Linked DNA regions of Arabidopsis thaliana. The protein of the gene in region 1 interacts with the protein of each later gene in a pairwise test. Each region holds a gene or a part of one and is shown in the gene's direction. Other genes may lie near its edges.

Region 1 (9,083 bases):
ATGACAAACCAGAAAGAAATTGGTCTTGAAAAACTTGGTGGAAACCTACACTGCAATTTTCAGCAATGTGACAAAAACCTGTCGCAATAAACTTAAAAGAATGACCAATGGTACAAGAGGCAAGCAAAAACAAGATACAAAGCTAAGAAAAGGTGCGAGAGGAGAATATCAGACAGCACTAGAAAGAAAGCTGAAACAAGGGTGTTATTCTACTTCACCTAATAATAGCGAAAACAAGAACGTCCAGAACAAAGTAGCAGAATCATAAAGTCTCTCCTACGTTAAATACTACATAGAGTTCAACAATACTAAGATAAAAGTGCTTCTTCAGACAGAGAGCTAAGCCTAGACTCTCTGTAAGAGCACATGAGTAAATATCTCTTATTGCATACTTGTCCAAAACGAAAAAGAAAAGCAAGTTATTCTAGGTGAGATAGAAAAGAACTAGTTAATCTCCATTCCATCTCCACCAGCTTGGCTGCAAAAAGGACTCACAGCAGCAAAAGACCTCTCAAAAGGAGAAGAATGAAACTGAGCATCACGTCGACGACGCTTAACACAACTTTCAGAAGGTTGTTGTTGACTCTCATCATCAAGCTTCCTCCTCACTCCTTTAACCGCCTGTTCCTCAACCAAAGAAAGCGGGAAAATCCGACCACTAGCTCGACACAAAGAGTTATGATTATCATACAAAATCCTTTGGTTGCAGTTCTTGTCACAAACATGAGTCAACCCAGTTAGTTTGCAACGGTACATATTCCCACACACATTCTCATTCTCGCATTTCCAATCACATTTGTGATTGGGTCCTTCGTGACCCAATATAGCAGATAAGTAAATAACATTAGCAGAGCCAACAACCACATGAGATTTTCCAAATACCTCCATTGTTTCAAAGTTACTCAAAGCTTCAAACTTTCTTCACTCACTGCATAACCCAAGAAAACCCGAATTAAAAAAACGAAATTGATCCACTATTAGAGATAATTTTTCCTAATCAGGCATAAATTTCAATCAAACAGATTTAATCGCAGCTGATAAATCGCATTATGAGATCCAACAAGAAGAAGTAATAAAATTCACAGAGATTAAATAAAACAGACCTGATCAGAAGCAGCAAATTCTCAACACTAATTTTGACTCGGCACTGAATAATATTTGTTGGAGAAAGAAAGTTTGTGAAGAAGAAGAAGATGAATTGGTCATTTTTAACTATTTATAGAAATCAATCTAACTCCGTTACTTGAAAAATAAACGGTATATTTATTTATTTTTATTGTCAATTTTAAAAATGATTACAGATTTCTTGAGCTAATTTATTGATTTTCTACAATTTCTTTTGTCTTTTCTTGGCGGTTAATGGGGAAATTCACGTGTCTATTAATTTATGGTTAGAGATACTACTAAAATATCTACTCGTATATTTGCATATTAAATGGCCTATTTAATAGGCGTGGGCAGGAAATGGTATTTGATAATGTAATTAATTAGTTATTTGGATATTTATTTATAGAGTAAGACGGCAGAAAAAAGTCCGTGAAGTAACGGTAAGAGGAACTGAATCAAACCATTCTCACATTTCTCAAGACTCTAACCATTGAAATTGAATTTTTTTCTCTTTTGGCCAAACAAGAACTAAGAAGAAGAAAAAACGACTATAAATAGATGGCACAAGTCATTCATCACAAAAGAGTAGCTAGACCTAGAGAAAGCTAGCTAAACAAGGATAAAACAAAATACGTAAACACCTTGTTTTGTATTATACCAATAGAAAGAGTTAAATCAGAATTTGGAGGAAGGTGTACGGAATCCATCCACCGTGAGACCACAAATTGAGGTAACATGATGATAGAAGTTTTGTTGTAGCGACGAGAACAATGTTCCGTATACTTCATATACTGCTTAAAACCAGAAGTGTTTATGCGACAACAACCTTCATCACTAGTCCAATCCTCCGAATCCTGATGAATGATGAACTGTCAACTCTTGTGTCCGCAAGTTACCAGATACAAAACAAGAGTGTTTTTGACTCCATAGATAGATAATATCAGAATCAAAGGGATTCATTGCCACTTGAAAACATTCGAATATACTCCAACAGATGCAATGTTGATTTCCGGTGTCAACAACTGCCAACATTCATCCTCTAAGTGTTAATATTCAGTCTCCAAATCCTCAATATTCGATGTAGTATTTCAATGCAGATCCCATCTCCTCGTGAAGTAGTCAAACATCTCTTAACATTCTAACATTAAATTGAAATCATTTAGTAATATTTGATATTTTTTCTTCTTTTCTTTGACACTGCCAATTACGATTTATGAGCAGGACTTAAGATTGCATATACAATCAAATGAAAGATGGAGTCACATCACAAGAATAAAAAGATCAATGATCAAATGAAAGATTTTAGTTTTCAGGGGATTTTGCATCTTTCAATGTTTTCGATTGTATCTTCCGGAGAAAAAAGAATCAGAGATCGTAATTCACACACGAACACGTTCGACTTAAGAAATGTTGATTACAAATTTTCACGATGCAAAACTGATTTATATTTAATTGAATCAAAGAAGAATCATTTTGAGATACAAAGAACAACAAAAGCCAAACCAATCTGGTAGTAGCAAATCAAACCAAGGTGACATACAACAACATTCAAAATACTTTCACAAATTTAATTAATCATCAAACGGTGACAACAGCTTCTTTCTCTTCTTGTTTACTCTCCTCCTTTACTGGTTCAGCCTCAGCTTTTACTGGTTCAGCCTCAGCCTTTACTGGTTCAGCTTCAGCCTTTTTCTCCGCTTCCACTGCAACCTCAACCTTTTCGGGTGCAGCTACGGCAACCGCCTCCACCTTTGCTTCAGCGTTTTCTGTTGCAGCGTTCTCCACTTTCTCAGGTGCAACTACTGCAGCCTCACCAGCATCAGCAGAAGAAGACTCTTCGACGGCTGCAACCTCTGGTTGAACAGCAGGAGTTGTTTCCTTGGTCGGCTCGACCGGAAATGTCTCCTTAGCTTCGACAGAAGTTGTTTCAGTGGTCTCAGCCACTGTCTGGTTCTGTTTCTCACCGCTTTCTGTGTTGTTCTCCTGTATTAATTAATCATACCAAAAGATCATAACCGGTTAAGCCCGGTTCGGTAACAAAACCTAATTAAATTTTCATATTTAAAACCTAGAGATTAATTGTTACCTTGGCTACTACGTTTTCAGAGACAGGCTTGTTAGGAACAGAGCCTTCTTCGTTTTGCATGTCTGATTCCTTGGGTCTACTCGCACAGCCACCCATTATTATATATTTTTTTGGTTTTTGTGATTTTGGGTTGGGTTTAGGCTGTGGAGTGTGCAAAAAAAATTTACACAAACTTTTTTATTTTTCTCTTCTTTTTTATTAATGTTGACCCGAGGATTGAGCAAATGAAGAGAACATAATCATGGTTATATAGATGAAGATGATTCCGATTTTTATGGAGAGCCTTTGGTATTTTTTCTTGTGTGTGTTGAAGTATTCAAATTGGGGATGGCTAAGAATAGAGTTTAGCAGAGAGGTAAGAGTAAATTTAGATAGATGTTTCTCTGTATTTGAAAAGCTTCATTGATATCGTCAAACTTTTGGAAGTTTTGTGGACCTCTCTCGTCTCTTGTTGCTAGCTCTATTTTTAGCCGGTCCTAGCTCCAGAATTTTAATTCGATTTTTTGAATTTTGTAACTTGCAAAGATAAGAGGATTACGCCGTGTAAACGATGATGAATATCCTAATGATTATGCAGCTTTTTACTAATACATAATTTCATGAAAGAAGTTTTGATTAGGTTTCCAAAAGTCAAAGAAAGCGAAAAAATCTAAATAAATTAAAAAAGACAAGTTTCCAAAAGTCAAGAAAAGCGTAACACCATCCCAAAAACAAAGTGACATGCACCGAAACTTCCATTCCTTTCCACGTGTCATTACATCATTCGTTCTATGACATTTCTCATCACCTTCTTTTACAACAGTCATTCACTTCTCGCTTTTACCCCTGCATCTAGTTAATATCCCAAAGTCGCTCAAGGGCAAAACCATACTTTAACAATTTCCAAACCGCGTAACGTACTTGGTTTGCCGCGTGTACACACCACGCGCTGCCATCACCATATAGAACTCACAAAAGGAAAGAAAAAACCAAATCAAAGCTCACATCTGCCTTCTTCTTCACTTTACCAAAATCATCGAATCCATTTTTAGGGTTTTTGTTTTCTCTCTAAATTTTTATTGTTATCTTCTTCGCGATACCTTGGAATCGCATCTCTGAGATAGATAAATAATTCTGATTCGTATCTTTAAATCTTGGGTTCTTCTTCTTCTCGCGATTCGTTTAAAAGAGCAGCATCAATGAATCAGAATCTTCATGTATTATCAATGGATTCGTTACCAGTTGGATTAAGATTCCGTCCAACAGACGAGGAGCTAATCCGTTACTATCTCCGTAGGAAAATCAACGGTCACGATGACGACGTCAAAGCTATCCGTGAGATCGATATTTGCAAATGGGAACCTTGGGATTTACCTGGTACTTACTTACTTACTTCTTCATCTCTTTATTCATAAATTTACACTTTTTCTATAGATCCTCTTTGATTTCTCTGGCATTATGTTGAATTGAGAAATGGTAGAACTTAAAATTTGTAGCTTTAGTTTCTATGGTGAAGAAAGTTAATAACTTTAAACCGATCATATGTGTTTGATATAGTTTAGTTTTGGGTATGTGGTTATATCTCTGTTAAGGTGTAGTGTAAGTGACTGAAATTTGATTAAAAGATGTGATTTTTTTTTGTTGTAGATTTTTCTGTGATCAAAACTAAAGACTCAGAGTGGCTCTACTTCTGTCCATTGGATCGGAAGTATCCGAGTGGAAGTAGACAGAACCGGGCAACAGTTGCAGGGTACTGGAAAGCCACAGGAAAAGACCGGAAGATAAAATCCGGTAAGACTAACATTATTGGTGTGAAGAGAACTCTAGTTTTCCACGCGGGTAGAGCTCCTAGGGGGACACGAACCAATTGGATTATTCATGAGTATCGTGCCACGGAGGATGATCTTAGTGGTACCAATCCTGGCCAGGTAAATAATGCATACTTTTAGATGTGTAACCATTGGAAAACTAAATTTGGCTCTGTAGCTTATTGTGTGCTTGTGTTGATATATATATATGCAGAGTCCGTTTGTTATATGCAAATTGTTCAAGAAAGAAGAACTGGTTTTAGGGGAAGAAGATTCGAAGTCAGATGAAGTTGAAGAACCTGCTGTCTCGTCTCCAACTGTCGAAGTGACTAAGTCAGAAGTATCTGAGGTAATTAAAACAGAAGACGTGAAGCGTCATGACATAGCAGAATCTTCTCTTGTAATCTCTGGAGATTCTCATAGTGATGCTTGTGATGAGGCTACAACCGCAGAGGTGAGGACATTGAAAAATTCTCTTAGACAGTTTTTAGATGATTGTCTCTAGTGTCTGTTTGAATACTAATGATGTTTATTTTCGGCATGCAGCTTGTAGATTTTAAATGGTATCCGGAATTGGAGTCCTTAGATTTCACGCTGTTCTCTCCATTACACTCTCAAGTCCAATCTGAGCTTGGATCCTCTTACAACACATTCCAGCCTGGCTCGAGTAATTTTTCAGGGAACAACAACAACAGCTTCCAAATCCAGACTCAGTATGGTACAAATGAAGTAGATACGTATATATCTGATTTTCTTGATTCGATTCTCAAGAGCCCAGACGAGGATCCAGAGAAGCACAAGTATGTTTTGCAAAGTGGTTTTGATGTTGTAGCACCAGATCAGGTACATGAAGATTCCTCAAAACTCATTATATCATTTGTATGTACTTCTAGAAAACAGAAATCGTATTAACTCTTAACTACTTTACTTGATTGCAGATTGCGCAAGTGTGTCAACAGGGCTCAGCAGTTGACATGAGCAATGATGTTTCAGTGACGGGTATCCAGATTAAGAGTCGCCAGGCACAACCCTCAGGTTATACCAATGACTATATAGCGCAGGGAAATGGTCCAAGAAGGCTGCGTCTGCAAAGTAACTTTAATGGCATTAACACGAAGAATCCTGAGCTTCAAGCTATAAAGAGAGAGGTGAGAATAACACCCACCTTCTGATGAATTACTCATCCTTGGTTTCTTTTAGCGTGTATGTGGTTTCACGTCGCAGAGTGGAATCGATCCATGACATTAAAATGTTAATGCTATGCAGGCTGAGGACACGGTTGGAGAAAGTATAAAGAAAAGGTGTGGAAAGCTAATGAGATCAAAGAACGTGACCGGTTTTGTGTTTAAAAAGATTACGTCGGTGAAATGTTCATATGGAGGACTCTTTAGGGCGGCAGTAGTTGCAGTTGTGTTCTTGATGTCAGTCTGCAGTCTAACCGTCGACTTCAGAGCATCTGCAGTGTCCTGAAAACTGAAACTTTTTGTAAATATAGTGCTTGAACCGGCCCGTGTTTTTGCTTCTGTTATTGGTTTCAGGCTTTCGCCAGTTTATAAGATATATTTGTTTGTAGTTTTTACATGTAGTTAGGCTGCTTATGTAAACGTTATGATGACAGAGAGGTCAAGACTCTATTTACTTCTTTGACTTATTAGAGTTCTTCTCACATGAGTTCATTCTGGACAAAACTCGGAAGAGAGAAGTCAAGCGATCGAACCGGAGAGATCACAATAAAACTCATCAAAGGGCAAAAGTAAGTTCAACAAAATCATTTATCACAAAACCAAAATAATGCAAGCAAACTATATGACCAAAGCGGCTATCAACAAGAGAAAGGAGAGCGAGGCAACCATACCATAATCCTGGATTACCCGTAGAAGTGAACATAAACTAACATACACACTTTCTAAAATTGCCTAAACCTAAGATTTGTACCACCCAACACCACAAACAAGATAGCAAATGCAGCAATCTCATGGACGGAGGAATACAAAGGTCAGACGTTACCGGAGAGGAGGCTAAAACGGAAATAAATAGTATTAGTACCTAAGCATTTATTTAATAATACAACTTATGAATTTGGGTTTACAACGCTAGACGCAAGAAAAAAAGTGGAGCTTGTGGTGGAGTCGCAGAGGAGTATACATTCACTGTGTGGTATTCGTGTCAATAATTCACAAAATTGGAAGGGCTATAAATGTTTTTTGGCAATTTTTTAAATTACCATTAGAATGAGTTTTAGTTCCAAAAATATCATCATTAGTTTCTTTTACTCAAAAATACCACTGAAATGTCTTTTTAGTGTTTGTCTTTTGATTTTGTTTTGTCTTTAGTGTTTGTCTTTTGATTCTGAACGTTTTATAAAAGTGTATACAGTATATATTAACAGTGACTTGTGAAAGATTCAGAATTCTCTCTTGCTTCCTTTTGTCTAGGATGAGGCAAAGACTAAAACCAACCCTAGAGGAAAAGTTTTGTCTAGGATCCTCCTCGTGGCGATTTGTTCTATGCATCACACTTGCAACTAATTAGCTTGTGAACAATGAGCTAAAAAATGAGAGGAGAAAAAAGAGAGACGGAGATGCAGAGGAAAAGTTTGTCAAAGGAAACTGGATCGATGAGTCATGGCTCGTGCTCCTTCAAACCAGAACAGCCAAGTGTAGAGAGGAGTCAAATTGATGAAGATCACCAAGTTGTATCAGAAAATTCTGACCGTTTGTCATGTGTTGGAGCTAGTTGTGTATCACCCTTTGGTTTGAGAGGACAGGGAAATGAAACCCTAGTCAAAAGCGGTTCCGTTTAGACCGAAAGAAAAAGGAGTCAGAAATGACTTTGAAGCAGAAGATGGAGGCAGCAATAGCTGAGAAGAAGAGACAGAGGGAAGAAGAAGAGGGAAAGTTGAAGGATGACAAAAGACAGCGTGTTGCCAAAAGTCCGAGACAACAAAGAAAGGATGATAAAAAAAGCTTGTAGCTTTTATAGATCGAATACTACAATCACCGAAAAACACTGTTCTTGGACAGGTGAAATGAGATCAAAAAGTGATGATCGGAGAGCTTCTAGAGAAGCTTCTAAGGTATGCAATTTTCATATCTCAGTGACTTGTTATACAAGGTATTCAATTTTCATAATCATATACTCTGTTTGTTTGCTCTGGTCAAGATGCAGATATTATCCATGTTTAGAACATCAAATACCCGAAATCTAAAAAGATCTTCAATTTCTAAAAAGGTTTCAGATTGAAATATTCAAACAAAAAACTAGAAAAAGTGATCTTTACTTCACTAATGTCAACAATTGCTTCAAACTAAAAGCAGTCTCGTTCAAACCAAGAAACAAATACAGTATTGAAAATGGACTAAACTTGCAGTTGCAATAAACTTGGAACATAAGAAGAGCGCACAAGTTCGCCTCCTATCCAATGGGAATTCGAGATTACTCCAATGTTGACAGATTTGAAGTATCCATCATCTCCAACGATGTAAGCCATTTGGTAGCGACAGGTCTCTGTCACTTTAGTATCAAAAAGTACAGCGACTTTCTTCTCCTCGTCGATAAAAAAGCTTTTAGGTTCAAATCTAATCAAAAAATCATCCGTTAAACCATTGATTAGTGACATATCCACTTTCAAAAAAGTGCTCCACGAAACCGCATTGGGCTCAATCTTAGTCGAAATCCAAATCTCTATGATGTCAAATGTGTCGTAGTGGCTATATAACACAGCGAGCTTATCATCTCTAGCCCAAGATAGAGCCAAATATTCAAAACTAGGAGAGGGAAGGATAAACGGAAGAGGCAAACGCGGTCCAAATCTCTCGGTTGTGAAATCAAAACAGCGTAAATAATCTTCAATGCCTGTTATCAACAAGTCTTCTGTCCCCACTTCTGCCTCTGTCGTTACCTCTCGATCGAAAAAGTAAGCATTTCCCTTCAAAGACACGCCACTTTGATAAATGAGTTCATCCCTATAGGGATTATCATCAGGAACCGTCCTCCATGAATCAGAGCTAAAATCGTAGACATCAATATGACTTTCGTTTTCCTCGTTCAACCTCAAGATTTTGTGGTTACGGTTGTTGTATCCCAGAGCAAAGCTGTCATCT
Region 2 (7,177 bases), on another chromosome or scaffold:
CCAATAATTAATTAATGCTCCAATTAATGATAATGTAGAATCTCTAAATCATTTATTACCCGCTTATATATATTGACCGAAATAAGAAGTCCTCATTTTATAAATTATATATAGACAGGAAAATGATATTATTGCACGGAAAAAAATTATGTGATCCGCAATAATTAATTATTGCTAAATTTGATAACCACATAAACGAATAAAATGTTATCCCAAAACCACAATGAATTAGATGTATTAATATCTTCATTAGATGTATTGTATATAGCATAATGAATTGCATTTAGATTGCATTTGTGTAAGATGCATGGGTTGGATCTGAAAATCAATTGGTAAGAGTAGAATTACCAATATCGTTGTATAAAGATGAGTTCTTTAACTAATATTTATATATTTTTGATAACTATTTAATTAATATTATTCTATGTTGGATTCCTTACATAATCTTTGTATTGATATCTGTTTCAGACATGGAAGTGATGAAGGAAAGATTCGCAAAACTGCTTCTTGGAGAGGACATGTCAGGCGGTGGGACAGGGGAGACCTCTGCGTTAGCTTTGTCAAACGCCATCACCAAACTCGCTGGTAAACCTTTAACACTACTAATATGATTAAAACATTAAATGTCTAATAACGATTTGAATGGTTAAAATAAGTCACAAACTAATTAATGTGGCTTTGGTATTGGCATGCAGATTCGATGTTTGGAGAGCAGATGAAATTGCAGCCTATGTATCCGGAGACAAAAGAGAATTGGAGGAAAGAAATGGGTTGGTTATTATCTGTGATTGATCACATTGTCCAGTTTGTTCCTTCTAGACAAATGGGTAAAAATGGCCAATTCACTGAGGTGAATGCATGCAACTGTTAGTCATTAATTACGTACATATATAACAACTACTAGTCTACTAGTGACGATTTTTCTTATTAACCCTAATTTTCTCCTTTGTAGATCATGGTTACAAAACAAAGAGATGATTTGCTGACGAACATTCCAGCTTTACGCAAACTTGACTCGGTTCTTCTCGTGAGTTTAATTACTACTTGATTGTTTCAACCGCGGTTTCAACGTTTGGGAAAAATTAAACCATTATATTATATCAAACACCACATCGTTTCAAAAATATTTTGTTTGCAACAATATCCATGACACTAGGACAAACTACTATATATACTACAAGTCATAGTCATCTTTGCAAATTATAAAGATAAATATAACTGAAAACGTCATAACACCAAGAGTACCATCTCATTAATTAATTTCATATAGGAGTGCATGTATTATAAAATGATCATGATATATATATATAACAAACAAAAATAGATGAGTTGTGACCATTTATCATACTAATGCAATTACTCATTTGGCAGGAAACTTTGGACAACTTCAAGGATCAGAAAGACTTTTGGTATGTGCCAAGAGATATGGAGGATGCAGATCACAATGGAGATTGGAGGAGGGATGAGAACTGGTGGTTACCAGTTGTTAAGGTTCCAACAGATGGCTTGTCTGAGGAATCACGTAGATGGTTGCAGAATCAGAAAGATTCTGTGGCTCAAGTCCTTAAAGCCGCCACGGCCATCAATGCTCATGTATTGTCTGAAATGCACGTTCCTGAAAACTACATTGATTCCCTTCCAAAGGTTACTTACTTCTTCTTCAAAAGTGTTCTGTTTCTTTACAATTTCCACTAAGCTAGGAAGCTGATGAGGCTGTTGGTTATGTAGAATGGGAAGACAAGCTTGGGAGATTTTCTTTACAAGAGCATAACAGAGGAGAGCTTTGATCCTGACTACTTTGTCTCTTTCTTGGATTTGTCAACGGAACACAAAGTACTTGATCTAAAGAACAGGATTGAAGCTTCCATGGTGATCTGGAAGAGGAAGATGTGCCAGAAAGAGAAAGACGGGAAATCTCAGTGGGGATCCACTGTTAGCTTAGAGAAGAGGGAGCTTTTCGAAGTCCGAGCTGAGACCATTTTGGTTATGCTCAAACAACAATTTCCTGGGATCCCACAATCCTCCCTTGAAGTCTCCAAGATTAAAAACAACAAGGTAACATAACATAACAAAGACTAAACAAACATCAACAAAAATGTAGTGAGACTGAGTAAGAGTTTGTTGTGATTTGATCTTACAGGATGTTGGACAGGCGATTTTGGAGAGCTATTCAAGGGTACTAGAGAGTCTTGCTTCAAAGATAATGTCAAGAATAGAGGATGTTCTTGAAGCCGATCGGCTAGTTCAAAGACAGTTGATGGGAGAGGCAGAGACAAGATCAGAAAGCGAGGCAGAATCAGAATACGAGGAAACTGAAAAGGTGGTTGCAGCGGAAACACCAAACTCGAGGAAACTATCAGACTTCATAGGGTGGAGATTGTCATCTGATACTAAGAAGCATAGTTCAATGAGTGATATAGAATTCTTCCACAAAGTTGAGCAGGAGAAGGAGAAGCCCATGATGAAGTCTCCAAGAGCTCTACCGAAGAAATTTTCATATCTAGCAAAGTTAGAGAACATGAGAAGCCCTAGTGACAGACACTGATAGTGAAAAGAGAAGGTAATAGAACAGGGCATAGAAGAAGAAAAACACAAAGAGAGTGAGAGAGAGAGAATAGAAGAAGGTTAAAGTGTGTGAGAATGTACATATATAACAATGCAGGCATTGGTTTTAGGATTTGGACATGAGACTTGGTGTTTGATCATGATTGTTGCTTGTTTTGACTATTGCTTCCTGTTGTTTTTTCTAAGAAGGAAGTGTGATTCAGTGTGTAACAATATTTTGGTATTTTTGTTCTTTGGTGTTTTGTATTGTAACGTCTAATCTACAACATTGTTTCCTAATGGATTTTGAAGCTCATTGATAATGACTAGTAGTGTAGTAGTATTGTAATGAAACATTATTTGATGACGACATGTAATTTAGTGGTTTGTGATAATACCATTGATCTGTGTTTACCATCCGGACTATTCAGGTATTCGGGTCCGTTATTTGGATTTTTAAATTTTTCGGATCGGGTTTAGTTCGGTACCTTTCGGGTTCGGGTCGGTTCTGGATATCCAAATAATTCTTCTTTTTGATCTCCTTTACTCAACATTTAGTGGTTAAAACACAGAACAACGGAAAAGGCAAATCGGGATCAGCCACCGGCGATGAAGGAAGACATGGATAAGATGGTGGCGGTAGGGCTCGTATGGGGAGCCACCAATGCTCTGATCCGTCGTGGCGCTCTTGCCTGGGATAAAACAAAGTCTTCTTCGACAACAGAATCTCATTCTCCTCCTCTTCAGATCCGCCGCAAAATCATGATTGCTCTCCGCGACTGGATCAATCTCCTCCTCTTCTGGCAATACTCAATTCCTTTCCTCATAAACCTCTCCGCCTCCGCCACATTCTTCGCCCTTCTCAGTCACGCTCCCATCTCTCTTGCCGTTCCGGTGACTAACGCCACAACCTTTGCCGCAACCGCCGCTTTTGGGATCCTTTTAGGGGAAGAAACTCAAATCGGACTTGCTTTGTTAGGTACGAGCTTTATTGTATTTGGAATTTGGCTTTGTGTTCTGTGAAATTCGAATTTTGTAAAACCGTGACTCTGTTTCTGTGAGATCTATTTTGCGAAAGAACTATTTGTGTACCATCTTTTGAGAATTTTAGCTAACTCTCTGCAATATTATCGAAGGTAATTAACATTACTAGTCAATGAAACAAACAGTGACTTGCAATGAACGCATCGAATGATTTATACGCAAAACCGAACTAGTGAAGAAAGAATAGAGCCAAAAGTAATAATAAAAGAATTTCTCCAATACAAAATTTAGTCATAAAAACTCACCGAAAAGGTTTACATGAACGGAAAAGTTTATAGAAGTGAAAGAAAACACAAGTAATTTGGATCCATTAATGGTGGCATAAACAATATATATAGAAGGAAAAAAAAACTGATATTATGTGATTGTTTTATATTAAGATGTTACGGTCATAAGACAAAATGGGTAAAAATTATCGTCATTAGACGACCTGAATCCATTCTCCAGTGCTGGGAACACCTTTGTAGATGGCAAAGATAAGATAGTAACCCGGTGGAGCGATGTTTCCATTTGGTGGTGCAACGGCCTGGATATCGTAACCGGCACCAGCAGGTTTGACATTATTGACACCCAAGATGAGCATCCTCATGTTCATTGAGATACTGTGTGTTGTGAAGGCAGGGGCTAACATGGTAACCTTGAGATTTCCCTTGGTTGCTCCCTTTTCTTTAAGGTCGACCTTCACGTTGAAGAATTGTCCGTATTTGACCTGTTTTGGGGTGCCGGTGGTGACGATCTTTGGCCTTATGTTGGCTAGAGCCGGGTCGAGGTAAGGTGGGGAGAATTTCTCAACGCGAAGCTCCGTTGGGAACTCAACGTTGTACTTGTAACCGTCGTTGGTGTTGCTGCCACCGACAAGAACCTTACCGTCTGGAAGAATGATGGCGCTGGAGTGGTACATACGTGGGATGGTGGTGGGCTTGAGCTGTCTGAAACGCTTGCCACGTGCAGCATGGGGCTTGTACAAGAGGGGAGCAAAGGCAGGGTCTTTACCATATCCCCAGCCTGAACAACCACGTTTAGCTCCGTTGACTAGAAGGATGTCTCCGTTAGGGAGGATGACAGTATCACTCATGATTCGTGGGGTTGGCATCATCTCCGTCTTCCATCGTGGCTTTGCGCTGTTGATCCTTATCCTGGCGCAGTCTTGTAGTGCTGGTTCGTATATTTTTTTACCAGCCTTGTAATACGCGTCTTGTTTGGAACCACCACAGACGAGAACCTCGGCTGGGATGACCTTGGGGTTTTTCACGTAAAGTTGGATGGGGAGGAGTGCGGAAGAACCTGATCCCGGGTAGTTACGGGCACCACCTGGGAGCTGAGGGAACTCCTTGATGACTTGGTTTGTTTTGGGGCTTAGAAGGATGGATCGGTTGTTAGCGAAAATGAAGAGGTTACCGTCGGTGTTAAGCCAGACGAAAGGGTAAAGGTTGTTTTCTTCCGGGTCGTCTGTTTGCCTGAGGAGCAATGAGTCAAAGAGCTTCCTGTTGTTTTGTCCCTCCTCAGGAATGTATTCGTAGTTCAAGGCGTCTCTTCCACCAATCACGAAGAACTTTCCGTCAGGGAGAGTTGCTTGCGTTGAGTACCATCTCTTCGCGGCCAATGCCTGAGGGTATTCTTCCCACTTGCAGTTTTCACAGCTGGATAGGTACCTCGCGGTGTTGGCTCCTCCTCCGTATCCTCCAGTGCTCACCAATGTACCATTTACGGTCAGACCTCCGGATGAGCACCATGTATCGGTGGAAAGCTATCATGAAACATGTGAATGCAAATATTTAATTCAAGTTCGTATAATATGATTCTATTTAATGAGAAGAAGATAACCCGTGTCTAGGCCTAGGCCCAAAAAAAAAAAAAAAAGATGGTGTCGTGAGTTTGAACATACCCCTAGAGGCTTAAGGGCGCCGGTGTTGACATCCATGAGAATCGAATGAGCCCAACAATCGACCTTGTTAGTCTTAGCGTCCACGACATGGCATGGTACGCCTGGAGGCAACTTAATCTTTGAAATTCTCCAAATGGTGGCGTCATAGTACTGGACCTTGTTGATAACTGGCATAAGGATCGCATGCATCCCTGACACACCCGAGTTTTCCAAGAAGAGCTCCCACTTACCACCCCAGGTTGTCTGAGCGTCTAAACCGCCGCCACGCTGCCTTCTTGCGGCTTTTCCACCAACTGCTCCTGCAGGCTGTGGTTTCGCAACCTTGACAGCCTCATTGTCCCTAAAGCCGTTGTTGAACCCAGGGAGGAACGGTAGAAACGGTAGAGGGAAGATGGCCTCGGACACAGCAGCGAGCATAAGGACAGATATTGTCCATATGACTCTTGTTGAGGCTTTCATTTTCTAATTTTTTTTGATTTTTTTGTTTTCTTTTTTTTTCTTCCCCTGTTTTGGTTGGGGAAATAAGAAAATTGGATCCCAGGCTTATATTGATTGTTGTGATGCCTGAAGAACAAGCTCTTGTCTCTGCGTGATTTATAGGTGTTGTTATTTCACTTACGTTTATTATTAGCAATTGCTATTTTTAAATGTGTGGTAAGAAGACGTCTCCCCAAAACAGCCTATAGATTTGTGGAGTTTCTGTGATAGAAGAAAACATTGGTGTTTCGTATCTGTCTCTCGTGCCCTTTTTTTTACAATGACGTGGTCATGCAGACAATTTCTTAATTTGATGTCATAAAGTTAAGGACCATTTCCTTACAAACCATCATGGGGCTGATCCAAAGGGTAAAGGATTGCATAATACGTACACATAACTATACATATTACACATATTTTGAAAAGTAATAAAGAAACGTGATTGGCAACAAACTCTCAACTAACATAATTAATAGATGATTAACACATTCCCAAATGAGCCAACTTAACAATAATGACTATGCATGTCACGGACATTGTTAACATTTAATTGGCTGCAGTGGACTTGCACATCAACAAGCATCAGAGTAGATCTGTCCCGACGTTGATAATTGTTTTCCTTGTTGAGGGAAGTGACTATATATCTAGTGTTAGTCTTTATGAAACTGAAAACAGCAATGTCTATAAAGATAAATAATTGCGGTGACGTATAATTGTGTAGGACCCTATTATTTTTCAAAGTGAACAAGATTGTACTTAAAGTAATTGTAGTTTAAGAACATAAACTTTCTTTATCAAACATAGTGTAAACATAAAACACCATGCATTGAAAACTAACAACAATCTAACTTACATAATCAAAGACTTCTAAATACATATTATCCTTAACTCCATAACATTCAATCTTTCTCGTAATATAGTCGTGACCAATAGTGTGTGTTCCAATGGTCTCTTGAATTTGTCGAGGACTCACCAAGTCACCATACATGTCAAAGTCGAGGATCGAGTAACACTCTCTATGAAAATCATTGTAGTTAACCTTTTGGCCACGGTAAACACCAGTAGTGACAAGAATACCGGGTTTTTACATGTCTCTTGAGATTAGTCTGGATTTCCGTAATATACTTCGGTTTTAGAAAATACAAGTAATCTCCATTAGTTAGTTATTTATGTACACTAATTTCATGGCTTTCTAGAAAATACACAAATTGGTCCTGCTTGTTTTAG
Region 3 (7,876 bases), on another chromosome or scaffold:
TGGTTACTTTTCTCGAGGCAAAGTCGTATCCTTGACCATATTCTTCCCTTAGCTTGAATCTCATTTTTGTCAGTTCCACGGTCAACAAATAAGGGACTGAATTAGAAGGCTATCCAAACCACTTTTGAGAAACTTACTTACACAGGCTATATATCCAACATGAGATTTGGTCTGCTTCTTTTCTTAATTTGTTTCTTAGTCTCTGATAAAATCTCGTTATCTATTTATTGATTTGAGTGTCAAAAAAAAAAAACCGGTGTTACAAAGCTGCTACTAAAGTGTCGTTCTACACTAGTTGTAAGAAATTACTTCTCAGTATGTTTTTTTATCTCTCACTAGTTGATAACATAATGGTAACCATCAAACAATGCTAGTTGTTGCAATTTTATTCTTGGGGGTACTTTGAAATTGTTTCTAATTGTTGCTCTGAACTTTTTTTTATTTTTATGTCGGTCAACATTGTTGGTCTGATTTATGTCTTACAACAACATTAAAGAGAAAATACACTAGTACTAATAAATCTAATTTTAAAGGGAAGGAAAAAAGAGGAAAGAAAAAAACAACTTTAGGAAGAAAAGGGAAAGTAGGACCCAGAAGAACTGACAAAATCCTCCAAATGTGGCAAAAAGGTATCATGCAAAAAACCCTAAAATTGAAAAAAGAGAGCACGCAAAACAGTGGCCATGCAACACACAACATTCATTACCGAGTTTTTACCTTTCTTTCTTTTTTCTATAAAAACAAAAATATTCCATCCAAATTTAGCAATCTTTTGTGTTCCCATTAATAGATTCCCAAAAAGCACTTCTAAACCCATTTTGGAATACATTGAACCTTTCCTCTTCTTCTTCTTCCTTCTACCTTCTTCTCTCTGTTCAATTTTGGGGGAAAATGGGTCGTGGAAAAATCGAGATAAAGAGGATCGAGAATGCGAATAGCAGACAAGTCACTTTTTCCAAGAGGCGTTCTGGGTTACTTAAGAAAGCTCGTGAGCTCTCTGTTCTTTGTGATGCTGAAGTTGCTGTCATCGTCTTCTCTAAGTCTGGCAAGCTCTTCGAGTACTCCAGTACTGGGTAACACTTATTTCTTTTTGATTCAATTTTGTTTTTGCATGTCTTGTCTTGTTGTGATTAGAATCGATTTCGGGAACTGTAATTGATTTTTGTTTTTGCATGTTTGTTAAGATTAAAAGTTTTCTGATTGAGCTGAAGAGAGTCCTAATTTTGAATTCTCATTTGATTTTAGAATGAAGCAAACACTTTCCAGATACGGTAATCACCAGAGTTCTTCAGCTTCTAAAGCAGAGGTGAGAATCATTCATTCTTGTCTCATATATCTTGAAATTGTTTTTTTGAAAATCTGATTGCTGTTTAGAACCTCCAGGAGGATTGTGCAGAGGTGGATATTTTAAAGGATCAACTTTCAAAGCTTCAAGAGAAACATTTGTATGGAAACTAAATAAATCTCACTATGCTTGTTCATTACTTTATTCTTCTCTACTTTGTGTTTGTTTTTAGTGTTTGGCTTTGTGTGTTCTGTTCTGTTGTAGACAACTGCAGGGCAAGGGCTTGAATCCTCTGACCTTTAAAGAGCTGCAAAGCCTTGAGCAGCAACTATATCATGCATTGATTACTGTCAGAGAGCGAAAGGTAACTAGTAATATCACTCTTCCATCATCATTTCTCTTTGCATTGTCCTGATTATGGTTATCTGATTTCAGGAACGATTGCTGACTAACCAACTTGAAGAATCACGCCTCAAGGTAAACACTAGCTTTTCCTCTCTAGCTTCCAAATGTAAGCTTATGTGTAATCACATGATTCTGAACCTTGTTAAAACCAGTGGCTATCCTTTGACAAGCTCATGCTCTAACTAGCTAGTGTGCAGTTTATTTGTCTTAAGACTCCTATATAACTAGGTACAGAGTGCAAAAGTATAATTCGTTTCTTGATTAGCCATATATATACTTTGCAGGAACAACGAGCAGAGTTGGAAAACGAGACCTTGCGTAGACAGGTTCTTATTATTTTTGTTGAATCATCTCCTAATGAACGCTTCTTCCTCTGACTTGTAATTACTTGTTGAAACAGGTTCAAGAACTGAGGAGCTTTCTCCCGTCGTTCACCCACTATGTTCCATCCTACATCAAATGCTTTGCTATAGATCCAAAGAACGCTCTCATAAACCACGACAGTAAATGCAGCCTCCAGAACACCGATTCAGACACAACTTTGCAATTAGGGTATTGCTCTTTTAAGTCTATTTGCTGTCATTGGTTGCATTATTGGAAAGCTGATTTAAGATAAATATAAGTCTTTTTCCTCCTCTGTTAGTTATGCATATGCCTTAACACTCACTAACTGGAGTTATAAAATTCTTACTACTTGTGTTTTCTCCAAGGTTGCCGGGAGAGGCACATGATAGAAGGACGAATGAAGGAGAAAGAGAGAGCCCGTCAAGCGATTCAGTGACAACAAACACGAGCAGCGAAACTGCAGAAAGAGGGGATCAGTCTAGTTTAGCAAATTCTCCACCTGAAGCCAAAAGACAAAGGTTCTCTGTTTAGTCCTAGAAAAGTATGGGAGAAGGCTACTAATGTTTCCTCTTTAGCAAGTATCCGATTGTTTTAAAAGTAATTTTAGAGGGATACTTGCAAAAAGAAGAGAAGATTCAGTTATCTAATCTCTGCACCAACTCTCTTTGTCCTTCTTCTTTTGATTATTTCTCGACTGTCTCTCCTATAAAAAAGATATGCCTAGCTGAGAGTTTGAAATCCATAATCTTTACAAGGCACAGAGTTATTTGACATCTCGTATAGTAAGAAAATTTGCGGAGAAATAAGCTTATAGAAAGTGAAGGTTATCGGAATCTTCCTACTCCATTACAATCAAGGCCCAATTGGACCTCAAATCCTAAACTGAAAAAGTTTATAATGAATTTCATTAAATGCCCCTAAAATATAAGCAAAAGTTTCAATAAAGACCTCATATTTCTCTATAATTACAATTCGTCCCCAGATTAATAAAGCCCAAAGGCATTAGACCGAAAACCCTAACCCCTCTTTATCCGCGCGAGAGCAATTGAGCAGCCATGGTTTGCATCAGGCGAGCGACGGTGGATGATCTGCTGGCGATGCAAGCCTGCAATCTCATGTGTCTTCCTGAGAACTACCAGATGAAGTACTACCTCTACCATATCCTCTCATGGCCTCAGCTTCTCTACGTCGCCGAGGACTACAATGGTCGCATCGTTGGCTATGTCTTGGCTAAGATGGAGGAAGAGAGCAACGAGTGCCACGGCCACATCACTTCTCTCGCCGTTCTTCGTACCCATCGCAAGCTCGGTCTCGCCACTAAGCTCATGACCGCCGCTCAAGCTGCCATGGAACAGGTTACTCCTCTAATCTTCAAATTTCGTATATCTTTGCATTCAATTAAGCAGATTCATTGAATTGATATAGAGTTTCGTGTTGAATAATTGGATGATATAGAAGAATTTGTGTGGTTTGAGTTTATGTTGAAGATTGATATAATGGTGTAAGTTAAAGGATTTTATTGAAAGTTAGAAACTTTGTGTGTCAAAGTGATTGTTGCAATTGTCATTGGAATTTGAAGTAACTTAAGCTCTGTAGATTGTATAAAGAGATTAAGTTTTGTCTCCGGTCGTGTTATGCTTTTGACTGACGGAGACGAGTAGTTTCTGATTGCCTGTGAAACTAATAATAGCAGACCTCAAAGGTTGATAGTTGTTTTCACTCTCGAACTTGGACTTTTTAAATTCATTCTCGGTCGGGGTTTTGTGGCAGGTTTACGAGGCTGAGTATGTTTCGTTGCATGTGAGGAGAAGTAACCGAGCAGCATTCAATCTATACACTGAGACATTAGGCTACAAGATTAATGATGTAGAAGCAAAGTACTACGCCGATGGGGAGGATGCTTATGACATGCGGAAGAATCTCAAGGGGAAGCAGAACCATCACCACGCCCACGGTCATCATCATCACCATGGAGGAGGATGTTGTTCTGGTGATGCAAAAGTTGTAGAAACAGCTCAAGCCGTAGATGGTAAAGCAGTTTCCAAATGAGATTCGAAAGCAGATAATTATGAGTATATTGAGGTGGGTTCACTGGCTCGCTCTAGTACTTCTCACTATTTCCATTCATATGATTCCGAGTGACAAATACATTTGGTGACCACTCTGTGTTACTCCTTTGTCTTTCTTTGGTTGTATTGAAAATTTAGCCGTTCCTTTTTTTGATGTATCATTTTGGAAATTCCAAGCTTTCATTAAGGCTTTACAACTTAAGCTGGAAATCTTCTATTTGCAAGATAGCAGATCTCTATTGGCAATATAGTACATTTAATTACAAGAAAAATAATCTTGGCTTGTACAGTTTTCCCTTTCAACTTAAAGTTCCTGTGTTCTTTGTATTCGAATATTTTGAAGTACTAGTTTGTGCAGCGTCAAAGCTTTCCTGTAGCCATCTGATCTGGGAATTGAGACCAGCATCACGCAGAGCATTCAAAGCTGAGGAATAAAGCCTAGCATCAAGCCTGGTTCCTTCAACTTTCATGTCCTGCAACAGCCTCATTAGCTCATCAATCCTACTGGTTTTGGAGAATACACCGACCATGATTCCTGCCATGGCCCTATCAATCTTTCCTCTGTTCATCCTAAACTCCTGGTAAAGCTCCACACATCTCTCCAACTCTTTTGATCTGTTATATGCACTGATCATACTAGTGTAACTCACCTTGTCCGGCAACACCTTCGCCCTCTTCATCTCTTTCCATATCTTTTCAGCCCTCCTTAAGTCCATAGCCCTTCCATGCATATCAATCAAGGAATTGTAAATCCAAATGTTGGGTTTACACCCTCTTTGTTTCATCTTAGCCATGAGTCTCACTGCATCGCTTAGTCTCCGTGTTTTCCCATACATATCCATTATGTTTGAGTATGCAACAACACACTTATCAAACCCCTTCTTCACCATCTCATCAAACAACATCTCAGCCTTATTGTACTTCTCAAGCCGACAGTATGCATTGATGGCTATTGCATAAGTCACTTGCCCAGCCTCACATTCTTCCTTCATAGCCCATTCATAAACCTTAACTGCTTCAGCAAAGCCTCTTTGCTTACTGAATCCATTCACAATCGCACAGAGTATGCAATCAGTGACCTTTAACTCAGCCTTTCTCATCGCCGCCACAACCTCTAGAGTTGTCTCCATATTTCCTTCTCGGACATACATGAGTACAACCTTCAAACACATTTCAGGATCCTTTAACAGTTTCTTCCCTCCTGCTTCTTTGAATAGCTTCTCGGTTATTACAACCTCCCGCGCTTCCGCAAATGCACGGATCAGCATAGAGTACAATTCACTACTCTCCGGAATTCCTTTATCTTTCATCTCCTCCAAAACCTCTAGAGCTTCGAATGCACGTCCTGATTTTGCAAGGGACGAGCATACAATCGTGTAGATAGAGCCTGATTCCTTGGCCAAGAAACTCAACCTCTGACTCTTAAACTCTTGGAACAACTCAACCACCTTGTGATTTTCACCAATCTTCTCATGAGCCTCCATTATCCTGCAATAACAACCCGGGCTTGGCTCAACTCCCACAGATTGTTTCAACCTATCAAATACTTGAATGGTGCTACTATACATCTGGAGTTTGTTAAAGCCTTTCATCGCTGCATCAGATGCAGATACCGCCAATGATTTGTCTGATCTAAACACGCTAAGCAAGCAATGTGTGATTCGGAATTTCCTATCTCTGATGCAACTCCTGATCAGATTCGAACACGTTTGCCCATCAGGCAATGCTTTATGTTCCCTGAGATCCTCACAAACAGAAACAAGCAAGTCCCAACTCTTGGAACTCACCAAGTAACTTATCAGATGCTTGGTCGTTCTCAACTCAGAGTTCTCCTTAGCTTTCTCGTAGAATTCAGAAGAAAGTTTCCGAGTTTCCGGGTCTCGGAGAAACCTGGATAAGACCCGGTTAAGGTCATTCGGACCAGGTTCAAAAAATGGCCACTTGTCTTCTTTAGGACTCGGTGACTTCTTTTCATCTTCCTCAAGAACCATAGAGCATCGAGACGAGCAGACATGGAAATTGTGAGGCTTTTGAGAAAGAAAGAAAATGGGTTTGGTCGGAGAAGTGAAGCTGTGGGGATTAGCATGGTGGTTCACAGTGGCTACCCATGACCCGCTCGCGATGGCCATGTGTATCTGTGTGTGTGAAGGAGAGAGAGATCTCTCTGTCTTTCTCTCTCTGTTTTCTTCACTTGTGGATGCTAATTCAGCGCCACGATAAAATTCGACCACACGTTCAAACAACAATTTCGCTTTTTTTTTTCTTTTTTTCTTTTTTCTTCAGGTATATGGGTTCTGTGTAATCGACGAATCACGTGGCGGGTTTTAGATTTCATGTAAATGATAAGATTGGACTTGTTTCTCTGAAGAATGGAGATCATATGACGTTTAGTATAATTGTAAAATGGGCCTCTCTGCTTTGATAACTGAAAAACTGATGGGCCTATGATTGTTTGTAGTAAGATGTTATAAAACTGATAGGATTCTTGTAAAAGTTTCAAATTCTTTCAAGATGGGCCTTTAAGACTAAAAAATTTTATAAGTAGAAAGAGATCACTGTTGCTGAACTCAATGAAGCTAAGTAAGAGAAAGAAATATATACCCATATACAGAAAGCTAGCTAAAGCTTGAAGTACTTTAACAAGATGTACCACTATTACTAATAGTTCATTAAAGTTCAAAACTACACTACTTTCCAAAACCAAGAAAGGAATATACCCATATACAGGAAGGAACAAAAGAATAAATTATGTACAGAAAGTAATTGAGGGGTCTCAACAACAACAAAGGAAAAAATAAAAAGTTAAAAAGCTCTCAACCAACTTGGCTTTTGGGTCATTAGTTGGATTGTGTCCATGTCACGAGCTTATCTCTATCCACAATTTCTTCCCCACCCCTACTGATATTGGTTGGCTCTTCACTCTTTCTGTAATTAAATTACATTTTCAAATTTAAATACATTTTAAAAAAAAAACTAGTTATTTCATTCTGAAAATTTAGCACCAAGGAAAAAAAGATGATCAGGCTAAGCTAGAGCACGGCGAACTCTAGGGGTGGTACTGGTAACGGCAACACGGCCACTTTTGATCATATCTTGCCTAGTTTTTATCACTTTGTCTTCGAAGAATCTGCTTTCCGGATTTTCGGCATAGCACGTGTAGTAGCAACCTACGCAGGCGTGAGGCAATGCCATAGAGATCCTGGTCTGTTACCAACAATCCAAAAAATATGATGAGAATACTATTTGAATCAAACATTTTAGAGTTGAAAAGTTCAAAGTGTAATTTACCATGAGGTATCCAATGAAGAAGGCAAGTAAAGAGATGGTGGCTGTAAAAGGTTTGTAAACTGTGTGAGTCCAAGCGGCTGCGACAATTAAACAAACGCAGCCGCTGCAGATGCCTGTAAGGAAGCATATGGAGCTTGTTATGTCTGCATCTACTATTTCAACCATATCTTCATCCTCAAACAGTTTCCATGTGTCTTGCGATGCCCTCACAAATCCTTTCCCATAAGCCGCTATCTGTAACAACAATACGGTTTAAACAAGTAAACAACCAATGGTACAAAACACTTTCGAATGGTGAAAAAGTGATCTAGTCTAAGTTTGTTCCGTCTGTTGTTACCACTCAAAGCTCAATACTATTGATTCAATATGACTATTTTTCTAATTCAAAATAATTACTATAAATGCAAAAAGAGCATGTGGTTGTGCCTCGACTTGTCAAGATGATGCAAGATTCTCATATCAGAAATGATATAAAAAATAAGAC

Evidence for each region.
Region 2: the proteins of NAC062 (region 1) and AT5G19570 interact in a two-hybrid assay, tested with the Arabidopsis thaliana proteins (one large-scale study listed by BioGRID).
Region 3: the proteins of NAC062 (region 1) and AT5G13780 interact in a two-hybrid assay, tested with the Arabidopsis thaliana proteins (one large-scale study listed by BioGRID).

Annotation. Positions count from the first base shown.
Region 1 is NC_003074.8:18,360,006-18,369,088, reverse strand, and holds NAC062 (NAC domain containing protein 62), read left to right. Parts: upstream 1-4,129; 5' UTR 4,130-4,371; coding exon 4,372-4,549; intron 4,550-4,819; coding exon 4,820-5,100; intron 5,101-5,194; coding exon 5,195-5,434; intron 5,435-5,526; coding exon 5,527-5,823; intron 5,824-5,918; coding exon 5,919-6,128; coding exon of another isoform or gene 6,129-6,152; exon of another isoform or gene 6,153-6,246; coding exon 6,247-6,450; 3' UTR 6,451-6,646; downstream 6,647-9,083. Other genes in the region: AT3G49551 (uncharacterized protein), read left to right, coding at 101-268; AT3G49550 (uncharacterized protein), read right to left, coding at 445-888; AT3G49540 (uncharacterized protein), read right to left, coding at 2,686-3,090, 3,194-3,289; AT3G49520 (F-box and associated interaction domains-containing protein), read right to left, coding at 8,339-9,083. UniProt on the Arabidopsis thaliana protein: Transcriptional activator activated by proteolytic cleavage through regulated intramembrane proteolysis (RIP). Transcriptional activator involved in response to cold stress.
Region 2 is NC_003076.8:6,603,586-6,610,762, forward strand, and holds AT5G19570 (uncharacterized protein), read left to right. Parts: upstream 1-2,978; 5' UTR 2,979-3,153; coding exon 3,154-3,567; 3' UTR 3,568-3,736; downstream 3,737-7,177. Other genes in the region: ROPGEF10 (ROP uanine nucleotide exchange factor 10), read left to right, coding at 469-585, 696-850, 953-1,027, 1,372-1,644, 1,729-2,055, 2,141-2,545; AT5G19580 (glyoxal oxidase-related protein), read right to left, coding at 4,010-5,335, 5,474-5,932.
Region 3 is NC_003076.8:4,443,818-4,451,693, reverse strand, and holds AT5G13780 (Acyl-CoA N-acyltransferases (NAT) superfamily protein), read left to right. Parts: upstream 1-3,018; 5' UTR 3,019-3,090; coding exon 3,091-3,390; intron 3,391-3,805; coding exon 3,806-4,084; 3' UTR 4,085-4,403; downstream 4,404-7,876. Other genes in the region: AGL15 (AGAMOUS-like 15), read left to right, coding at 892-1,073, 1,246-1,306, 1,375-1,445, 1,550-1,649, 1,721-1,762, 1,975-2,016, 2,091-2,242, 2,401-2,566; AT5G13770 (Pentatricopeptide repeat (PPR-like) superfamily protein), read right to left, coding at 4,404-6,233; AT5G13760 (Plasma-membrane choline transporter family protein), read right to left, coding at 7,129-7,308, 7,393-7,626. UniProt on the Arabidopsis thaliana protein: Catalytic subunit of the NatA N-alpha-acetyltransferase complex. Required for male gametocyte development, embryogenesis, suspensor development and the formation of the quiescent center (QC) in the root meristem.